2 linked regions of the Callithrix jacchus genome follow. The protein of the gene in region 2 interacts with the protein of the main gene of each other region in a pairwise test. Links are inferred from orthologs where the notes say so. Each region holds a gene or a part of one and is shown on either strand. Other genes may lie near its edges. The genes, in order: BNIP3L and LDLRAD1.

What was found.
Region 1: the proteins of LDLRAD1 (region 2) and BNIP3L interact in binary tests that used the Homo sapiens proteins (3 or more experiments, as listed by UniProt). The two-hybrid records come from large-scale screens. The link is inferred for Callithrix jacchus from reciprocal best matches to the Homo sapiens genes LDLRAD1 and BNIP3L.

What each region holds. Positions count from the first base shown.
Region 1 is NC_133514.1:15,166,177-15,175,624, forward strand, and holds part of BNIP3L (BCL2/adenovirus E1B 19 kDa protein-interacting protein 3-like), read right to left. Parts: intron 8,275-9,448; exon of another isoform or gene 8,079-8,274; intron 7,746-8,078; exon of another isoform or gene 7,641-7,745; intron 5,391-7,640; exon of another isoform or gene 5,325-5,390; intron 4,582-5,324; coding exon 4,398-4,581; intron 626-4,397; coding exon 553-625; intron 1-552.
Region 2 is NC_133508.1:91,203,300-91,213,521, reverse strand, and holds the start of LDLRAD1 (low-density lipoprotein receptor class A domain-containing protein 1), read left to right. Parts: upstream 1-4,469; 5' UTR 4,470-4,506; coding exon 4,507-4,527; intron 4,528-5,066; coding exon 5,067-5,118; intron 5,119-8,102; coding exon 8,103-8,231; intron 8,232-10,222.

The sequences.
Region 1 (9,448 bases), on a different chromosome or scaffold from region 2:
TGGCTCGTGCCTATAATCCCAGCACTTTGGGAGGCCAAGGCTGCTGGATCACACGGTGAGGAGTTTGAGACCAGCCTGAACAATATGGTGAAACCCCGCGTCTACTAAAAATACAAACATTAGCTGGGCACGGTGGTGCGCACCTGTAGTCCCAGATACTCAGGAGGCTGAGGCAGGAGAATCGCTTGAACCCAGGAGGTAGAGGCTATAGGGAGCCGAGATCAGGCCACTGCACTCCAGCCTGGGCGACAGAGCAAGATTCCATTTCAATTTAAAAAAAAAAAAAAAAAAGAAACGAGCATGGCGTATTGGCATGCTTCATTATGGACAAGAATCTTCCAGTTCTTTTAGAGTGACAGGGCCCAAAATCCTTAGTTGTAAAGGAGTGTGGCAAGAACTATATCATCCTAAATAAATTCCAAAATCAGAAATTCAGTAACAGCTTCAAACTATTCCTAAAAGTCTTCTTTTTCTTTAATATATTTTAGCAAAACACACGTAGACAATGTGCATCTTTCTTGTTTGCTATAAATCAGAATCCCTCCCACACACCTGAGAGCTATGGTCCCTGCTGGTGTGCATTTCCACATCAAACATGATCTGCCCATCTTCTTGTGGCGAAGGGCTAGAAGAGAAAAAATTTAGCTATTACTTTTAATTCTCATTTTGTCACACTTGACACTTAGTCTCTACCAGAAATAAGAAAATTAAAAATTACAGCAGTATGGCTTTGAAAAAGCAAATCAGAAAATTTATCATAACCCCATACAAGAAAATTTTATGAAACATTAAAGGGCCAAATGAAATTGAGCATTTTACACCTAGAATGTTCTGTCCTTTTTCAGTAGTAATGAATTCCTTCAAAATGATAAATGTGCAAAGGAAATACTACTTACAGACACAAACTGTCACATTTTCTTATATCTACTCTTTGGTCCATTAAAGGTAAAATAATCTTCAAATTCGGGAATTTTAGAGTTCCTTTTCTCAAAGTTCTCTTATTAAATAATTCACCACCCGTAGTTTTCACAGTGCATAAGGTAGTTCTCAAAGATGTTTTCAGAGGGTTTTCGAGGTTAGAGTTCCTTTTGTAATACTAGTAGGATTTGTTTGCCTTTTTCATTCTCATTCTCCCATGAGTGTCTAATGGAATTTTCCGAAGGCTATACAGTATGTGATAGTACAACAGGTAGAACGCAGAAGCGGATGAGAGCCGGTTGTTCTCTAATAGGCTTGGTATTAGAGATTTGTAAACGTGTAAAACAATGCCACTATTCTTATTAACTTGGGGGGACTTATAGAAGATAGTTATTTTCACTAAAAAAGCTTATCTATGTTAGAATGTATTATTTTTGAATATGTACTTTCTCAGTGTTAGTTTCTAATATAGTAAATATCAAAATATATAAACCCACAAGCAAGTCCTTTGGGGTCCCTAATTATTTTTAAGAATGTAAAAGTATATAAAGACCAACAACTTTGATAACCACTATTTTACTTATTTCAGAAATATTTGCTTTATTTGAGACTGAATTATATAAGCTTATATTTGAATATACAATCTTTCTGATTGTACAAAATATATTTTTAGAACTATAAAAATTTACAGATAAGTTTTTAGACAAAAACCACATAATCACAAACTGTACTTGATATAAGAGACGAACAGAATGTGTTAAGTTAATTTCTTAGCTTTATCAATGATTCCTTGTGTAGCCACTGAAAGTCACTGGATCCCTCACTACATACACATACCCTCCCCCCAAAATCTAAAAGAGAAATAAAAAATATTTGGGGTTTAACTTGCTGAAAGGAATAGATATTAACTATTAAAGTTACCAAGAATATGTATGTATACAATGTTAATTAATGTATAGAGATGCTGGTGAGACTGACTCAGAAATAAGTAAGATCATCAGAAATTTATCAGACAAATTAGGCCTAGGAGTTTTTTCGAATGGTATAATTGACACAGGGGATTCTTAAAAGGGAAAAGCTCGTTCTGTATAAACATCATATATGTTTAGGAAATTTCTGTCTTGAACTAGCACAGGAGTCAACCAGAACTGGGCACTTCTACTGGCCTCAGTTTACTATCTTTGTGATCCTAACACCATTAGCTTCACAGCTACACATCAAGTTAAGGGTCAGCCTTACATAGCCTCGACCAGGTCAAGGCAGGCAGGGTGACAAAGTCAGGAATCCTGTGGAAGCACTGCTCTGCTTCTGCATGCTTCTTCATGCTGGCACCAGCCTTTTCTCTAAACTGTTTATTCCTCCTGAAATAATTTGGAATGCATTAGAGCTTCACCCATGACACATATTAGAATCGGCTGGGGAGTTTTAAAATATTGTGATGTCTCTACCCTGCCCTGGCAACCAAAATGAGAAATTCTTGAGATGCAGTCCATGTGCTGGCACTTTTAAAAGCTCCCTGTGTGAATCTAGGATGCCCTCAAGGCGAAAATGCCTGCGACAGGGTGGAACGCGAAGCAGAACACACTGGGTTCCCAGCTAACAACCCCTGCAGCCACACAAATATTTCTATGGAATAATTTTGCAGTAGAAAAGACTCATAAATCAGCTCTAGGACTGATATCCAACAACCCTAAAACCTTCCCCGCAACAAGAAACACTTCCCAATGACTTCAAATACAGAGACGCATGGCAATTCAAATGACATGATTTCTGAGACACTCTTCAATGGTAAAGCGTGTGAGTCAGACATCCCAGGAGAGTGCTGCTGCACACTAGAGTTCTAGGCATTCTCTGAAAGACAACCACTAATCTAGGGCCCGGAGATACATAAGATGAGGGGTAGGAAGTGTTCAAAAGCACTTGCCATGCCTCCTTTTCACATGCTTTCACAACTTAAACACGATCATGGGAGGGTGAAGTCATATTCAATCACATGTAACAGGATGAACAGACAGGTAAGCAGGTGACTTTTCTTTGCTCGATGACACCACCATGTTAACAACAGGCTAATGGACACCGTGGTGTCAATGATCAAGGCCCATGCACTGGAATGCAGAGTGAAAGCCTTGCTGACAGGCCATTAACAAGCAGAAAACTTCAGACACCCATCGGCAAGTTCCATAATATAAACATGTATCTTCATTCGGAAAGACAGACTTAATGCTGTAGCTACTGGAATCAAGGGCAAGCTGTTCAGAAGAGAGCCATCTGCTGTGTTCTGCTTATGACAAGAGCCATCCCAGGCTCTAAGAAGCACAGGGACAAGTCAGGGATGACACGGGGGTGGCGGGGGTGCATAGTGTGCCACAGAGCCAGCAAACCAGTCCCCCGGCTGCCTTGGCAACATTAGTGGATCATAAGTCCCTCGGGAAGCTGGAATATAATTTAACTGATTTCTCCTTTTCGCTTCTTCTGGTAAGTAATAATATGTGCAATATACACAATTTTTACCAAATACAAAAATGTTAAGAAGAAAAATATCCATCCTGCATCCCTAAAGATAAGCACTGTTTACATTCCTCAGCATTTCCTTAATCTGCTTCCTGTGCGTTTGCTGTATGGTTAACATCAGCTAACAGCTACTCAGAAGGTCAGCCGGTGCCCTATAATGCTAACAGTGTAGCTGTCATTGAAACAAGAATTTTGTAAATGTCACTGAATATTCAGCCCCTCTGGAAAAAAAGAAAAGCTTACACTAAAAAATAATAACCTGGTTTCATTCCAACACATATATCTCACTGTAATCTTACTCTTTCACTATAAGCAGTCTTTAATCCATGGAATGAGCTTCCTCGGGTCAAATACAGAAAAACGGTCTGAAACAAAACATCTCTGAGAAAGGAGAAGGGCCTTCAAAACTACCTTTACAGACCTTGGCTGGCGCTTCCAACTGTGCAAATATTGCTATAATGTGAATCAACCTGCAGTTCCTATGGGTCAAACATTTACTTAGTGTCTATTATGTGCCAGCACCATTACCGTGAAGCTAATAAAGATGAAACATGGTCCCTGCCCTTTGAAGCCTCAAGATCTAGAAGGGAAGACAGATATACACAGAGGTAACTAATTCAAGGCAGTCTGTGATCTGTAAAAGAGGGACTCAAAGGAAAATGGGAGAAAGATTAATTCTATGAAGTAGCATTTATGCCACTGAATTTTAAACTGATAAACTGCTAAAAATAATGTAATCTGATTAAAAAAAGTGACAATCTGGAGAAAACAGGGGGCACTGGAACACCTGTCAATTAGCTGTCTGATATAAACACAATCTATGTATCTGTGGAATATATATTACACTGCAATATATCAGGAGGCATTTTTGCTAAGTGAAGATTTAAGCAAATAAATTTTTCCTAGAGATAATGAGCCCTGTAACCCACCCGTGTCCTGAATTCCACCAAAACACGGATCTCACTTACCTGTCACAGTGAGAGCTGCCTCTTGAACTACTCTGTCCTGATTCATGTTGTGCATCCAAAAGAATCTTCTCCATGTCTCCATTGTGAATGGAGGATGAGGAAGGCACATGTTCTAGCCCCCCATTTTTCCCATTGCCATTATCATTGCCATTGCTGCTATTCATGGGTAGCTCCACCCAGGAACCTGTTGGACAAGTCAGATAAGTTAACCACAGCAGAACTGAAATCTGTCATGTGCACACAGATGTGAATATGGTGAATCCAGATAAGAATTCTGACTCTCCTCAAACGAAATGCAAAAGTATTCTGAAGAAAAGAAAGAGTAATAAAAGTCTAAACATCTATTAAGTTCTGTTCCTGAAATAGCTCATGCCATCAGCTGAGAAGAAACGGGAACTCTAAAACATCTTGGAAAATGTGTTTTTCAGCCAATTTTCTCTTTTGTTAAACCTTAGTTTATAATAACACTTTACTGAAAACTCTGAGGTTGCTTTTAAAAAAAAAATAGCTACTTTTTTACTAGACAGGCTACTTACCTTTAATATTTCAGCTGGTGTATAGATATACGCACAGAGAGACACTTTCTTCATAGTCTACCTAAGCTACTCAGCTTTATCTGATTCGTAAATGAAACAGTAAGTATTATCAATTAGAAATTTCATAAAAGGTTATCTAAGTAAGTTAGCAACTATATCCTCCTTAGTGCAAACAACGGAGAAACTCCTAGAGAGGGAACTTAAATCCAGTAGCAAACATTTCAATTTGTGCACAAATCAGGAGCATAAAATTAAGGCAGCTGGTTAACAAAACCAGGTGATAATGCGAAAAATTCAGAAAAAAGCTTTAGCTCTATCTCACTGATTCGTTTCTTCATTTCCTTTATATCACTGCTAGAAGTCTTTCTCCTTTTTTATACACTAAACATACCTTGTGAACTTGTCTTTTTTCTCTTCTCTCCCACGAGTTCCTACTTTCTAGAGTTTTCGTTAAGCCCTGTTGATTTGGGGGCAGAAACAACTGCACATTAGCTACACGCAAACACGAATGTTTTCTTGGGCAAAAAGTTGAAGGGGTGGAGCCACAGAAAAAGGGGATGTGGCACTGGTAATTCTGCATAGGTCTTGAAAATATTGGCCCAGTAAGTCTGCTAAAAGTATTAAGGTGTTTTAATTTTAATAAGAGTTGAGGCCAGGGACAGTGGTTCACACAGGTAATCCCAGCACTCTGGGAGGCTAAGGCACCAGGATTGCTCAAGTGCGGGAGTTTTACACCAGCCTTGGCAACATGGCAAGACCTTGTCTCTACAAAAGAACAGTAAGAAAATAAGTAAAAGAATTGAAATAATTGTTAACAGTAGCCAATAAAGTAACTTCACAGCAAAAAGAGATAGTGGTATATTTTGTTAATCTTTTCCTTTTTTTTTTTTTTTTTTGAGACGGAGTCTGGCTCTGTAGCCCAGGCTAGAGTGCAGTGGTGCGATCTCCGCTCACTGCAATCTCTGCCTCTGAGTCTTCGTTCAAGCAATTCTCCTGACCTCAGCCCCACAAGTAGCTGGGATGACAGGCATGCACCACGATGTCTAGCTAATTTTTGTATTTTTAGTAGAGATGGGCTTTCACCATGTTGACCAGGCTGATCTTGAACTCCTGACCTCATGTTCTGCTCACCTTGGCTTCCCAAAATGCTGGGATTACAGGCGTGAGCCACCGTGCCCAGCCTCCATTGCTTATGATAAATTTTGTTTTAGAAAATGTAACCAAGCAGCTTGGTGGGGCCACCTCTCTAAACTCCCAGCAGAAGCATTAGAAAGAGTTCCAGGGATAAATAAGGATTTCTGTCAGTAAGATGAAGCAATCATCAAAACTGGCTCAAACTCCAAAACGCACGCTAAATGTGGTGATGGCTACACCAGATCCCGAATGAACTCAACATCGCCCTCACAAGAAGGAAAGCTCGCAGGCAGACCTGGCTGGGAATCTGAACCCATTGCTTCCTGTCTACCTGTGTGACCTCAGTTTCAGCCTCCTCATTTACAAAACAGAGATAATAATAACACAGGGTTGCTGTGAGGATTTAGTAGTATCAAGTGCTGGTAAATGGAAGATACTCAGTTATACAGTAGAATTTACATTTATAAATACTTAGAACCCTTTGCTTTCCATCTGAGGCAGCCCCAGTGGCACCAATATCCCATAATCACCACCAATTCCTTAGGACTCTGCTGCCAAAGGACACAGTTCTACAACATCTCTGTGGCCTCATTCTATACACACATAAAATGGACATAGACTAGAGAGAACTCGAAATGGATCAGCAATTAAAACTAGCAAAGCTAAGAGAAATCTAACACTGAAGATAATTGAACTCACTCGAGTGCCTCTGGAGTGTATAAGAAATATGCCAAAAGCATCCCTAAATTTAGAGCTCTGCAAAATATTTCAGCTGGAGAGAAAGGAGGTGGGGGAGAGAATATGTATATGAAAAACAGTTTTTTTCTGACTCCTACTGCTTCTAGGATTTTCAAACTTATTTTTAAACCAATGGGAGCAATTCTTCTTGTGTAGAAGCCCAATGCAAACAATAAAACAAACCAGAAGCAGAGCTAAGGAACCAGGAGTTCCAGATGGGTCTCTGTGGAAGCCAGTCTTCCCTAATATACAATAAATACTCATTTGAAGTAGATGATCAAAGAGAAATAAGGGTGTAACAAAAAATATCAGGTTTTCCGGTCCTTACTTTTTTTTGAGACAGTCTTGCATTGTCACCCAGGCTGGAAGTACAGTGGCACAATCGCAGCTCACCACAGCCTGACTCCTGGGCTCAAGCAAGCCTCCTACCTCAGCCTCCCAAGAAGCTGGGACTATAGGGCACATGCAACCACGCCCCGCTAATTTATTTATTTATTTTTTTGGTAGAGATGGGGTCTTCCTACATTGCCCAGGTTGGTCTCAAACTCCCAGACTTCAGCAATCCTCCCACCTCAGCCTCCCAAAGTGCTGGGGTTACAGATTATGAGCCACTCCCAGCCTGGTTTTTACTTTTATGAAGGACTTTCAAATCAATGCCTGGATTCTATTTTCTTCATTAAAAATGCATAAGCAATCATAATCTAAAATATACTTTAGAAACCCGAACAAAGAGACATACCTAGAAAAGCTCAGTAAAAGTGATCTCTGCTGTGGCCTCCACACCCTGTGGTGTAACTGAAAGCATTTCTACTTAAGACAGACAATTTGTACTTGCCATATACTGGTCTACTGTGGTCAGGGGCAGAACTGAAGCCAGGCTTCCACTCTCAGTCAAAGCTGTCACCCTTGCACAGGGTACTTATAGCCTCACTTTCCCCATCTATAAAACAGATAACTGTATCTACCTCGAAGACTTTGTTAGGAGGATTACATGAATAAAGCATGCAGAACAGTAAGAAAGCTCCCTAGGAAAGTTTTAGCTACTATAATTATATTCTGTATCATATCAAAACCGTTCCTTACTGCAAACATATGTTCTTAGAAAATGTAAACAATCAGCACCTAAAATTTACAATCACCGTTTCTCCTCACCTCCCATTCCTACACCCAAAGGAGTCACTTTTGAGTTTCACATGGAGATTTTGATTTTTTTTTCAATGAAACATGTCTGTTTTCATAAAGAAATGAAACTGTACCATACACACGTACTTACATAATCTGTAAGTCGTTTTTCAGATGTCTTCCCTATCAGTACACACTGACATTAATTCTTCTGAACAACGGCACTGCATCTCACCTTTGATGAGGATATACCGTCCTTTCACCATTATCTAAATGGCAATGGTCACCCCTACTCAGATGCTTGTTTCTAATACTTTGTTGTTACAAGCAGCGCTTCAGTGAACATTCTGGAGAATAATTTGACAATAGGTATTAAGAGCCTTAAAAGGGTAATTTCCTTTAACTCGGTAATTTGCTTCCAAAAATATCATCTATGGAAATACATAGTGCAGAGAAAGTTATGTGCATAGGCATTGAGAGGCTACATATTAATCTTTTGAGTAATACACAGAAGAGCAAAACAGATGAACAACATGTCTTTGTCTCATCACCTGATTCGTTCCTGATTTACAAACTCAGAACTTCTTAGTGTTCTAACTCTACCAACCCTCACAAAGTCCAGTTTTACTTGGAAAGGAAGCAATGCTAGATAAGAGGTTTGTGCTGTCCAAGCGATACAAAGTAGAAAACCACAGAGTGAATTCCCTTCCTAACAATCAAGCTTGAAGACTAAAAGCTGGAAGCTTCTCTATGATTTAGACTTTACAAACGAAGTAAGAGCCGTTCCTTATGCTAATTTGCACAAAATATGCAGTGGCATGAGATATTTTCTGGTTTGGGTTTTAGGGAATGACTAAGAGAATGCTTCTCCATTCTCTAACGTAACAGATTGTGAAGGGTGGTTTAGTAATTGTGATTACATTCATTAATGTATGTTGCATCATCTTTACAGTTTTATAATCACTAGTTCAGTCCTCTTGCAATAAGGGGAGGAGAGGAGCTTTGGGACACGAGGAGGAGAAAATGAAGAGTTTTTCTCCTCAATTTCCCCCCTAACTTTTCAAGGCCCACATAGAACTCTTTTCATATTTCATTATATTTACATTCTTTCCTCAAAGCCTTTCATTCATTATTGAAAGGAATCCAGACCAGGCCAACAAGAGTCACTGACATTCTTCTAAAAAAAAAAAAAATGTTGGTCTTTTTGTAGAAGTATTTACACACAAGTTACATAGGTATTCAAAACATTGTTACGAGGCAGGGACACTTCATGAAGGCCTTAAGAGTACTCTTGATAACAGGAAAGCAGGCACATGATGGTTGAAGATTTATTTAAAAAAAGAAAAAAAGAGTTTGTGACCAGCCTGGGCAACAAAGCAAAACTCAATCTCTACAAAAAATAAGTTAGCCAGTGACCAACCTGGCCAACAAAGTGAAACTCCATCTCTACAAGAAATAAAATAATTAGCTGGGTGTGGGGGCGTGCACCTATACTCCTCGCTACCTGCTCACTTGAGCCCA
Region 2 (10,222 bases):
TATTTTTCTTAAGGTTTTGAAATATTTTTCTGGGGGGCTGGCGGGGAGAAGGATGATGGAATAGGTGAAGAGAGTGAGCTTGGCGTGGTGTTGGGTGAGGATCCTACCCCATGGAGTGGGGTAGGATCTCCTGTCCTCCCTTTCTTCAGGAACAAGGGAAAAGAAGTTTAGAGTAGTAGATGGGAAAGTTGAAGCTCAGAGAGGTTAAGTGACCCAGCCAAGATCACTCAGCTAGTGGTGGGACCATTTGGACTATCAGCTCCAAAACTTGTGCTCTAGCTAGAAGTTTACCCAGCCCTGGCCCAGGGGTCCCAGTCAAGGCCCAGGGCCCAGCAGGGTGGAGGTGGAAGTTGTTTAATGCAGCACAAGCCCTTAATTTTCATGGTATAACCATCCCAACAACTGCCTCCTACTAGGACAAGAACAGGCAATGAAAGCCCCTGCTGTCAGTTCTGCCTAACCAGAGAGAGAGCAGACGGTAGAGGCGGGGACAACGTGCGCCCAGCGTCTGAACAGTGCCCTTCAGGAGCTGTTGCTGGGACACACCAGGTTGGCAGCCTGGGGCCTCTACCTTAGGCAAGAGAGAAAGTGAGGCTAAAAATAATTGGTGCTGCACATGCCGATGTTCCTGAAGTCATCTGCTGCGGCGGAAGGCACGCTCGCTGTGCTAGGGCACTGACCACTGTATGGCCTTGGGCAAGTCTCCTCTTCTCTCCAGACCTTAGTTCCCCCTTCTGTAAAATGAGGTCATTGTGCTCCCTGAGCCTGAGGTCCCTTTGGTTCTGCTGATTCAAGTTCTGAGTTTCCCTGAGGGACTCTGGCAGCCCTGTTTTCACTCTTCTCAGTTTCCTCTGCTAACTCTCACATGGGCATTGCCTTAAGCTGCTGCTAGAACTCTCTATCCAGCACTCACCATTCTCCTTGCTTTATTTATTTATTTCTTTAGAGACAGTCTCGCTCTGTCACCCAGGCTGGAGTACAGTGGCACAATCTCAGCTCACTGCAGCTTCCACCTCCCAGGTTCAAGCAATTCTCCCACCTCAGCCTCCCAAGCAGCTGGTATTACAGGCATGCGCCACCACGCCCAGCTAATTTTTGTATTTTTAGTAGAGACAGGGTTTCACCATGTTGGCCAGGCTGGTCTTGAGCTCCTGACCTCAAGTGATCCACCCACCTCAGCCTCCCAAAGTGCTGGCATTACAGGTGCAATCCACAGCATCCAGCCTTTCCCTGCTTTAGAAAGAGACGCATCTGAGGTTAAGCAAAAGAGGACTGCAAATCCTCACAGCGGTGAGCCACTGATGGTATTTCAGTTGTCAGGCTGGTGGAAGTCAGTAAGACTGATGGTACTAAATGTCAACAGAGATGTAATCAACAGAAACTCATCCACAACGGAAGGAGTGTGAATCAACTCTGTAGGTCCACAGGCTTGGAGTCAAAATGGACCTGGGTTGAAATCTCGGCTCTGCCGTTTACTCACTGTGTGGCTTTGGGCAAGTTACTTAATCTCTGAACCCAGTTTCCACATCTGTTAACTGGGTGTAATAATATTACTGTGGGAAGTAGAAAACTTCCTCTTCAAAGTTTCCTCTCTTTTTAAAGAATAAATCATAAGTGTCAGCAATAATAATTTGTTTTAAAGACTTTCTTCAAAGCCTTCTTGCTTTTTGCTAATAACTCTTTGTTAAGCCTTATCCTATGTAGCCGTTAGACATGCTCACAGGCACATAGTACATTCTATGTCCTTGTAATTTAACCAAGATGTTTATGCTATTATTTTTCTAAGTCCTTTCACAAGCAACTTCTTGTCCTTTCCTTATTTAGACTTCCTCTTTTCCTTTTGTTCTCCATGGCCTTTACCTACTCAAGAACGTTTTAAGTTAGTAGCCAATCAGGTTCAGGTTTAGACTGTGAAGTCTGGCTCCAGCCAATGGAAATCAGACACAGCAATAAGGACAATCCCAATTGCGTAAAGGATAAATATGTCTGCTTTTTCTTTGTTGATAGTACTCTCATGGCAAGACTGCTGGCCGAGTTACCCTTTCTCCAGTAAGTAAAGATTGCTGAGAGATCCTTTGTCCCAGTGCTGACTTTTCCTTGCAGCACCAAGCATCTGTTTCCAGCAATTACCTATCTTACAGAGTTGTGAGGATCAAGGCAGCTGGTGTAGTGCTTGAAGCATAGCAGCTGATCAATAAGTAATAGCTACCTCCCTTCCATCCATTCCTTCCCCTTGAGAGTGAGACTGTGAACCACAGGGGATATGATTCCAAGACGTTCAGGGATTGAAGCACCAGGGCCTCTCCCTCATCTCACCGGGCCCCCTGCTGCCCTTCCCTCAAGGGTTCTTGGTGGCAGCTTGAACCCTGGAGAGACACAGTGCTTTCAGCACAGTTTTATGTGGCTGTACCTGGATTCAATGGATAAAAAGGCATTTCACAGCCCTGAGGAGTCTTTTTATAAAGGAACACTTAAGAATCAGAGTCAAGGAAGGCCAGAGGCTGAAGGGCATTAATAGGTCCTGGAATGGCAAATGGTCATCATGTCTGATACCTCTCTTCACTCTTCCACCCATGGCAGGCATCTATAGTCAGTCACAGTCCTGACCTCAGAATCCTTCTGAGCTGCATGTTCCAGAGAGCTTTTTCCAATCAATTGTAGTTGGCATGCCAAATAAAATCTAGTTAGTGTCTTTAGCAGGGACCATGGGTGCCTGCCCATGCTTTCAACCCTTTCCATTTCAGGACATAGCAGCCTAATGTGCAGCGGGCAAGCTGCCAACACTGGCATCTCCTTGCCTAAGGCAGCCCAGTGCAAGGAATTAACACCCTCTGGCTAGTCTTCTTTTTTTTTCTTTTGAGACTGAGTTTCGCTCTTGATGCTCAGGCTGGAGTGCAATCTTGGCTCACTGCAACTTCTGCCTCCCAGGTTCAAGCGATTCTCCTGCCTCAGTCTCCTGAGGGATGATGGGCACTGCCACCACGCCTGGCTAATTTTTTGTATTTTTAGTAGAGACAGGGTTTCACCACGTTGGCCAGGCTGGTCTCGAACTCCCAGGTGACCCACCTGCCTGGCCTCCCAAAGTGCTGGGATTACAGGTGTGAGCCACCATGCCTGGCCTCCTCTGGCCATTCTCAACCAAGACTGGCAGGAGCTGGCAGATTAATACCCCAGTTCCCCCCACCTTGAGAGGGATCACTGAGGTGCATCTTTGCCCCTGGCTTCCCCGAGGGCCCCAACAGGGCTGAACTCCACTTGCCCACAGCAGGAACCTGCGTTTAAGGATCCTTCTCTTTCCAGTCTCATTTCCCTCATTCCCCGACCACTGTTTCCTGGGATCACTCCCAGTTAAATCTACTTGCCCTCGAATATTGTCTTAGAGTCTGATTCTGGGGAATCCTAAACTAAAACACCCCCTTCATCTGGTTTATATCTTCATTTTATGGATGAAGGATCGGAGGCACAGGAAGGGGAGTGAATTGCCCAAGTCAGAGCCAGTGGTAGGGCCCTACTGAGAGCCCCGTTCTCCTGGTCTAGGTGTCAGCTCTGCGCAGTGTTACTTGCTGCCTCCCAAGGGCTGCCCCTGCACCTGCCCCTCCTACTTGCACCCACATGGATTCAGCATTTTATTTCCCAAAGCAAAAGAAAAGGCTGATTGCAGGTTGGAAAATCTATGGGCGTCAGAGGCAGGTGAAAGGGGATCCTCCCTAGAACTCTTGAGCTCATTTCTGGAGGTAGCCATCTCTCCTTTCTTGGTCTGGGTCATTGGACTTGGCCCTCAAGCTTCCAGGTTTACTCAGCAGTGGGACAGGCTGCTAGGGAAACCCACTCACTGGGAGCGTAGAAGGGGTTATTCAGGCAAGCAACCAGCCCCCCTCCTCTTCCCTACTTCGGGTGCCACCTCAGGGACAGTAAAAATTCACATTGCCACACTTCTAAAGAAAATAATTTAAAGTTATATTTGCTTTATACTTTTAGCGGAAAGTGCATATTCTTTCAATCTGGATTACCTGTGTTGTTTAACAGAAAGAACAGCAATGAGAAAATGACCCCTGCTTTCTAGCCACTGAAATGTTAATTCCGGGAGTTTCTACCTGCATCTTCATCCCCCTGGAACCAGAGCTCCTCCGGTTCTCTCGCTGATGCGGAGGAAAAAGCACTCTTGAAAAGTTTCTGGGTTTCACCCCTCCCACCTACTGTGCGACCTGGGGCAGTTTCTCCCTTTCTGAACCTCTGGCTCTTCATCTGTGGATGGGGATGAGGATTCCAGCCTCGCAGTGTTGCTGTCAGACGGCAGAGAAGGAAACAGCCTGGCCAGAGCAGGGCCCTCTTGCCCTTGCCTCTGCTTGGAAGGCAGCTGGGAGGGAGGGGGCTGCCCACAGGGAGGGTGTGGCCCAGGCAAAGCTCCTGCCTGTCCCTCCTCCAGGCTGCCCCTGGTGACAAGGCAGGGAACCCATGCTGAGCTCTCTGCACACAGCCCCAGTCAGGGAGCTGAAAGCCGAAGACATGAACAAGGTCTTCCCCGAGGTAAGGGCTGCCTGGACCAGGCTCCTGATCTTGGGAGAGCAAACCTTGGGATGAGGAGTGTGGGCAGTAGAGAGTGGGCATACATGGGAGACATGGAGGAAAATCAGCCCCCGTCCTGGCCCGGGGCTCACTCCCAGGGTGTAGGGGGCCCTACCAGTGACCCAGCTGTAGAGTCCAGGTGGCAAGTGCTGGGACGGACACAGAGGAGCCGGGTGGACAGGAAGGGAGAGCGTTAGCTTTACTGGGTATCAGGGAAAGCTTCACCGAGGAGTCGCTGCCCACGCCAGTTTGAAGGATGAATATTTGCCAGGTGGACAGCAGAGGAAAAGGCGCCCCAGACAGAGGGCCCAGTGCAGGCAAAGGTGTGGAAATGGGAAGCCGGCATGAGGCATCTGGGGCGTTGAGCGTGCTGGGGTGTGAGGGAGCCACGGTGCCACCGAAGACTCTCGGTGACCCCTTCTGAAAGCCCTGCTGTCTGCCTCCCTGAGGCTGGACCTCACCTCACCTAAGCCCACCCCTCACTCTGTTCTCTTGGGCAGGGAGAGAATGGCCGCATTGCTGCTGGACCCAAGGCCCTCCCTGGAGGGGAAGGTAAAGAACTGAAGGGCCCAGGGCCAGTGCCCTGTGGGGCTCCCTTGAAGCTGGCAGTTGGCTATAGAGGCATGAGGAAGGTTGGAGGATTCCAGGCTCCCGCTGCCCCTCAGACCTCTGCCCCATGTTAATGTTGTCTGCTCCCAGCTTCCTGGTCAGATGCTGACAGTCACTTGCTTAATAGGGTTATTCATTCTCTCCATGCACACATATTTATTAAGCACCTACTGTGTGCTGCCGACCTCACAGGCACCAAACTGCATTCAGTGCCCACCTGTAATACAGCATCAAACTGACTCAGTGGGTGACCTGGACAATTCTCTTTACCTCTGAGACACATTTATTTAGCCCTACTATGTGCCGCTGGCCCACAGTGTGACCAGAACAGTTCTCTTTACCCTTCTGAAGATAGAAGGAAGAAACAGACATGTATTGAGCATTGTATATGCCCTGGCGTGGCCCACATTTGATCAATGAGGAGACACACCCAGAGAGGTAGATGAAAATACCAACTATAAAGGACCCAGTACAGTTATGTGCCTGGCACTGCATGGCCCCTTTAATCCCCAGGACAGCTCTGAGACAGGGGCTCTGTCATGGGGCAATCACAGATAAGGCAGCTGAAACTAAGAGAAGTTGGGTAACCAGGCCAAGGTCATACAGCGGGGAGGCCGGAGGGCCAGGGTTCAAATGTGAACTGAGGTCTCTCTGGTTACAAAGCCCCAGGGCTTTTGTTGCCGCATACCGGTGTTTGTTTTTTTCCAAGTCCTGACTCATGACGGGTGTGGTTGTGGCAAGAATAGCCTCCTTTTCCTCATCTGTGCAGGGAAGGGACTGGCACCTAAGGGCTTTCTGGCTTTGAAGCGCAACAGCTTCACCTGGGCAGGAGCCTTGGTTCTGCCGGTTCTCCCGTGGCAACATCTTGCACGTGGTCTGTGCTGCACAAATATTTGAGGAGCTGCTTGGCTGACCAGCACACCTCTCCCTGCCCAGAGTCACGCTGCCTCCCTGGTTACCTGAGTTTACCCTGTTTGCTGACGGCCACAGAGCCACCAGCTAGGGCTGTAGGGATGACGGGGTTTTAGATTCCTGCTGCCTTGAATACCATCGTATCCCTCCCAGCGCACATCCATCCTGGAGCCCCGCCACGCCAGGCCACTTGTGCTCCCCCACCTGCAACCACCAGACCTTTCCACTTGCCACGCCCTCTGCCTGGAAGCCCCTTTCTTTGCACCATTCCCTTACCTGCCTGTGGAAATCCCACCCGGCTTCTGAGGACCCTGCATCAGAAATGTGAATGGATTGAAAATAACTGACCCATAGTGGGGGCCTTCCCTTGTCTCCTGGACCCCTGGGCTAGCATATTCACAGAGTGTTCACAAATCTCTGGGCCTGGCACGGTGGCTCACACCGGTAATCCCAGCACTTTGGGAGGCCAAGGTAGGTGACCACCTGAGGTCAGGAGTTGGAGACCAGCCTAGCCAACAGGGTGAAACCCCATCTCTACTGAAAATACAAAACTTGGCCAGATGTGGTGGCAGCCACCTGTTATCCCAGCTACTTGGGGGGCTGAGGCAAGAGAATCTCCTGAACCTGGGAGGCAGAGGTTGCAGTGAGCCGAGATCATGCCACCGCATTTCAGCCTGAGCAATAGAACGAGACTCCATCTCAAAAAAAAAGAACCCCCCCGCAAAAAAAAAGCTCCCACCATGTGCCTGGCTCTGGGCTGGGTCCTGGGGTCACAGGGTGAATCATACCTGCCCCTGCCCCTTTCTCTGAGGTACCTGTGGCCTGGGCAGGTCAGTAGCTCCCACGCTCCTTCAGACATGTCCATGCTTTGCCTTCTAAGTGCAATAACAAGCTGCAGAGGGCAAGGACCAGAGCTGGAGCCACACAGCGGGGCACCAGGAGGTCCTTAGTAAAGGCTTCTGTTATTATTTTGTAAGCAGGAGAGAATTAAAGTACAGTTTTACAAGAGCAGGGACATCCCCTATCACTGTGATTTCCAGTGCTTAGAATAAAGCTTGGCACGTGGCAAGTCCTCAACAAGCAATAACAGCCCAGACACAGCAGTGCGCAGCTGTTACAGGACTTTGGGAGGCCGAGGCAGGAGGACTGTTTGAGCCCAGGACTTAGAGTGTGCAGTGAACTATGATTGCACCACTGCATTCCAGCCTGGGCAACAGAGCCGGACCCTATCTCTAAAATTAAAAAAAAATTTTTTTAAGCAATAATAATAGCTCATATTCATCATTTACTATGTGCCAAGCACTGTTCTAACACATTAACTCAACAAATTCTAATCCTTTCAGCAAACTTTAAGGTAGCTATTACGGTCCCCATTTCCCACATGAAGCAACTGAAGTGCAGAGAAGTGAAGTGACTTACTCAGTGTGGCTCAGGTAGGAACTGGTGGAACTGGGATTCCAACCTGCATCCCAGCAGACTCCAGAACGGACAGTCAGTGGGGATTGTGGAAAGGGCATGCGTTGTGGCATCACACAGGTGTGGATTCACATGCCAGCTCCACCCTGGGTTACCTGAACCTTTTCTTTTCTGAGCCCCAGTTTCCTCATAGATCAAATAAAAGGTTGTTTTGAAAAATAAAGACCACAGTTATGAAGGGCCTGATGGAGCGTCTGCCCCGTGGTGGGGGCTGGACATGCAGGCGTCCATCTCTCCCTGCGTCCTGAGGAGGTCTCCTGATGGCGAGTGGGCGGGGAGAGCTGTCCACCTCTGCCATTCAGTTAGCTGTGGGCATCTGGCCAGGGTGGCACCTAGTGGGGTGGGCCCACAGGCAGAACAAAGAGCATCAAGCGGGGCTTGGGAGCTGCTCCTCCAGGGAAGCCCTCCCAGCTCTGCTCACCCTGGTGGGGGAAGGGCTGCTCACAGGGGCAGGACAGGGAGGGGGTTCACTGTTCCCAGTTCTGGCCCCCCCATCACGACCCCCCCCCCGGGCTTGTTTCCCTCCCTGTTCCCCGCAGCAGGCTGCGGCCCCCTCTGCTGCTCGCGCCGCGGGGCCTGCCTCTCTGCCTTTCTGCTGCTCCTCCTGGCAACTCTGGCCGCCCTCATCGCCTTGGTCACCACACTCGGACTCCCATCACGAACCCCAGGTCAGAGCGGCCAAGAGAGGGTGGGTCAGACCCAGCAGGGAGGATATGGGGGACACAGAGAGACCTGCCTGGCTTCTCCACCAGGTGACTTATGACAAATTCCTTAAGGTGCATGCACAGACAACACAGATACCTGCACACTGACTATGCCGATCTCTTAGCCTCCATCTGCACATCTGTGACATGATTATTGAGAGGACCCAGCTCTGATGTCACCTCCTCCAGGATGCCTTCCTGGACCCCCAGGCTGGGTTAGGAACCTCTTCTCAGCCCCACAGTCCCTACACTTCCCCATCATCCCCTGGCCTGGCCATCCCGGGTGGGGCTATCCATCTGTGGGTTCATTTTCACCACAGGGAGACAGGGTCACCTCCCACACATGCCTGCAGCCCCAGCTCCGGGGTGAAAGATCGGGACACAGTGCCTGCCCTCATGGAGCTAACTCTTTGGAGAGCAATCTAGACATGAATACATGTTACAGCAGGGTTCTGGGAGCCCTGAGAGTCTAGCCCCATCAAGGAGTCAGGATAGGCACAATGGGTACTAGTTGTAGGGGGATGCCAGGAAAAGCATCCCAGGCACAGGGAATGCATGTGTGGAGCCCTAAGGGGTGGGAGGAGCAGGAGGAGAAGGAGGGACTGCAAGAGGCCAGCGAACAGGAAGGGCTGGAGTGACAAGTGGGGCCGGGTGCCAAGGGCCTCACAGGCTGCACCAGGAAGCGAGGTCACAGTCCAGGAGCCACAGAAAGGGGAGGAAGGCGGGGACAAGTGTCACCAGGTGAATCTTTCTGAAGGATGGCTCTGCCGCTGGGCAGGGTGGGTTAGAGGGCTGAGGTGGGGGCTGAGATTCACAGTGCTCTACCTGCTGGTGCAGGAACACAGGCCCTGAACTGGATGCGAATGCATGAGCAGCTGCGGTCCTGAGTTTGTGTGTGCACTCTGTGTGTTTAGCATGTCTGTGAGTAGATGCAGGTGTCTGTGTATGGATGTTCGTGTCTATGTGAGAGTGTGTGTGTCGGTGTGTGTGTGCATATCTGCTGTCTGTGTATCTGTGAGTGTGCATGTAGGTGCAGCTGTCTGTGTGCGAGCATGTGTGCATGTGTGTGCATCTGTGTGTGTCTGTGTCAACATGAGTGCCCCTGGGAGTTGCCCCCTTCACACACACACACGCACACTAGCTGAGGCAGCCCAGGGGCTGAGATGTGATTCACACATGCGCAAACACAAATGCGCAAACCAACTTCCAACCCCAATTATGCACACGTATACAGATGCGGGGCCAAGGTGTTCCCCCACCCCTAACTTGTCTGCAGGGTTTTTCTTTCTTTCTTTCTTTTTTTTTTTTTTTTTGAGATGGGGTCTTGCTTTGTTGCCCAGGCTGGAGTGATATGGCACAATCTCAGATCGCTGCAACCTCTGCTTCAAGGGTTCAAGTGATTCTCCTGCCTCAGCCTCCCGAGTAGCTAGGACTACAGGCATGCACCACCATGCCCAGCTAATTTTGTATTTTTAGTAGAGATGGGGTTTGTCCATGTTGGTCAGGCTGGTCTCAAACTCCCGACCTGAGGTGATCTGCCCACCTTGGCCTCCCAAAGTGCCGGGATTACAGGCGTGAGCCACAACACCCGGCCAGTTTTCTGTCTTTTCATTCCTTGGGGCAGTCCTAAGAGTGGGTATTCCTTTCCTGCTCCCATATTGGCGGGGGGGGGGGGGTGCTAATGAGAACGTGGTCTCAGGGGTGTTTGGGGAACTATAGAATAAAGATGTGGAAGTGCTCTGCAGATGTGCCCAGATAGAAGGAGTGGTGACGTATGGTCCTCCAGCCAGCCCAAATATAGTTCTTCTGACACTAACCTGGTGCCAGAGCCTCCGCCATTAAAACCACATCACTGAATGGAACATTGTCCTCAGAAGCTTCCTGTGACACTGCATAGAAGTTTTCAGTAAAGGAGAGAACTATTCCTCTCCGCCCACCCCCACTTCCTGAGAACC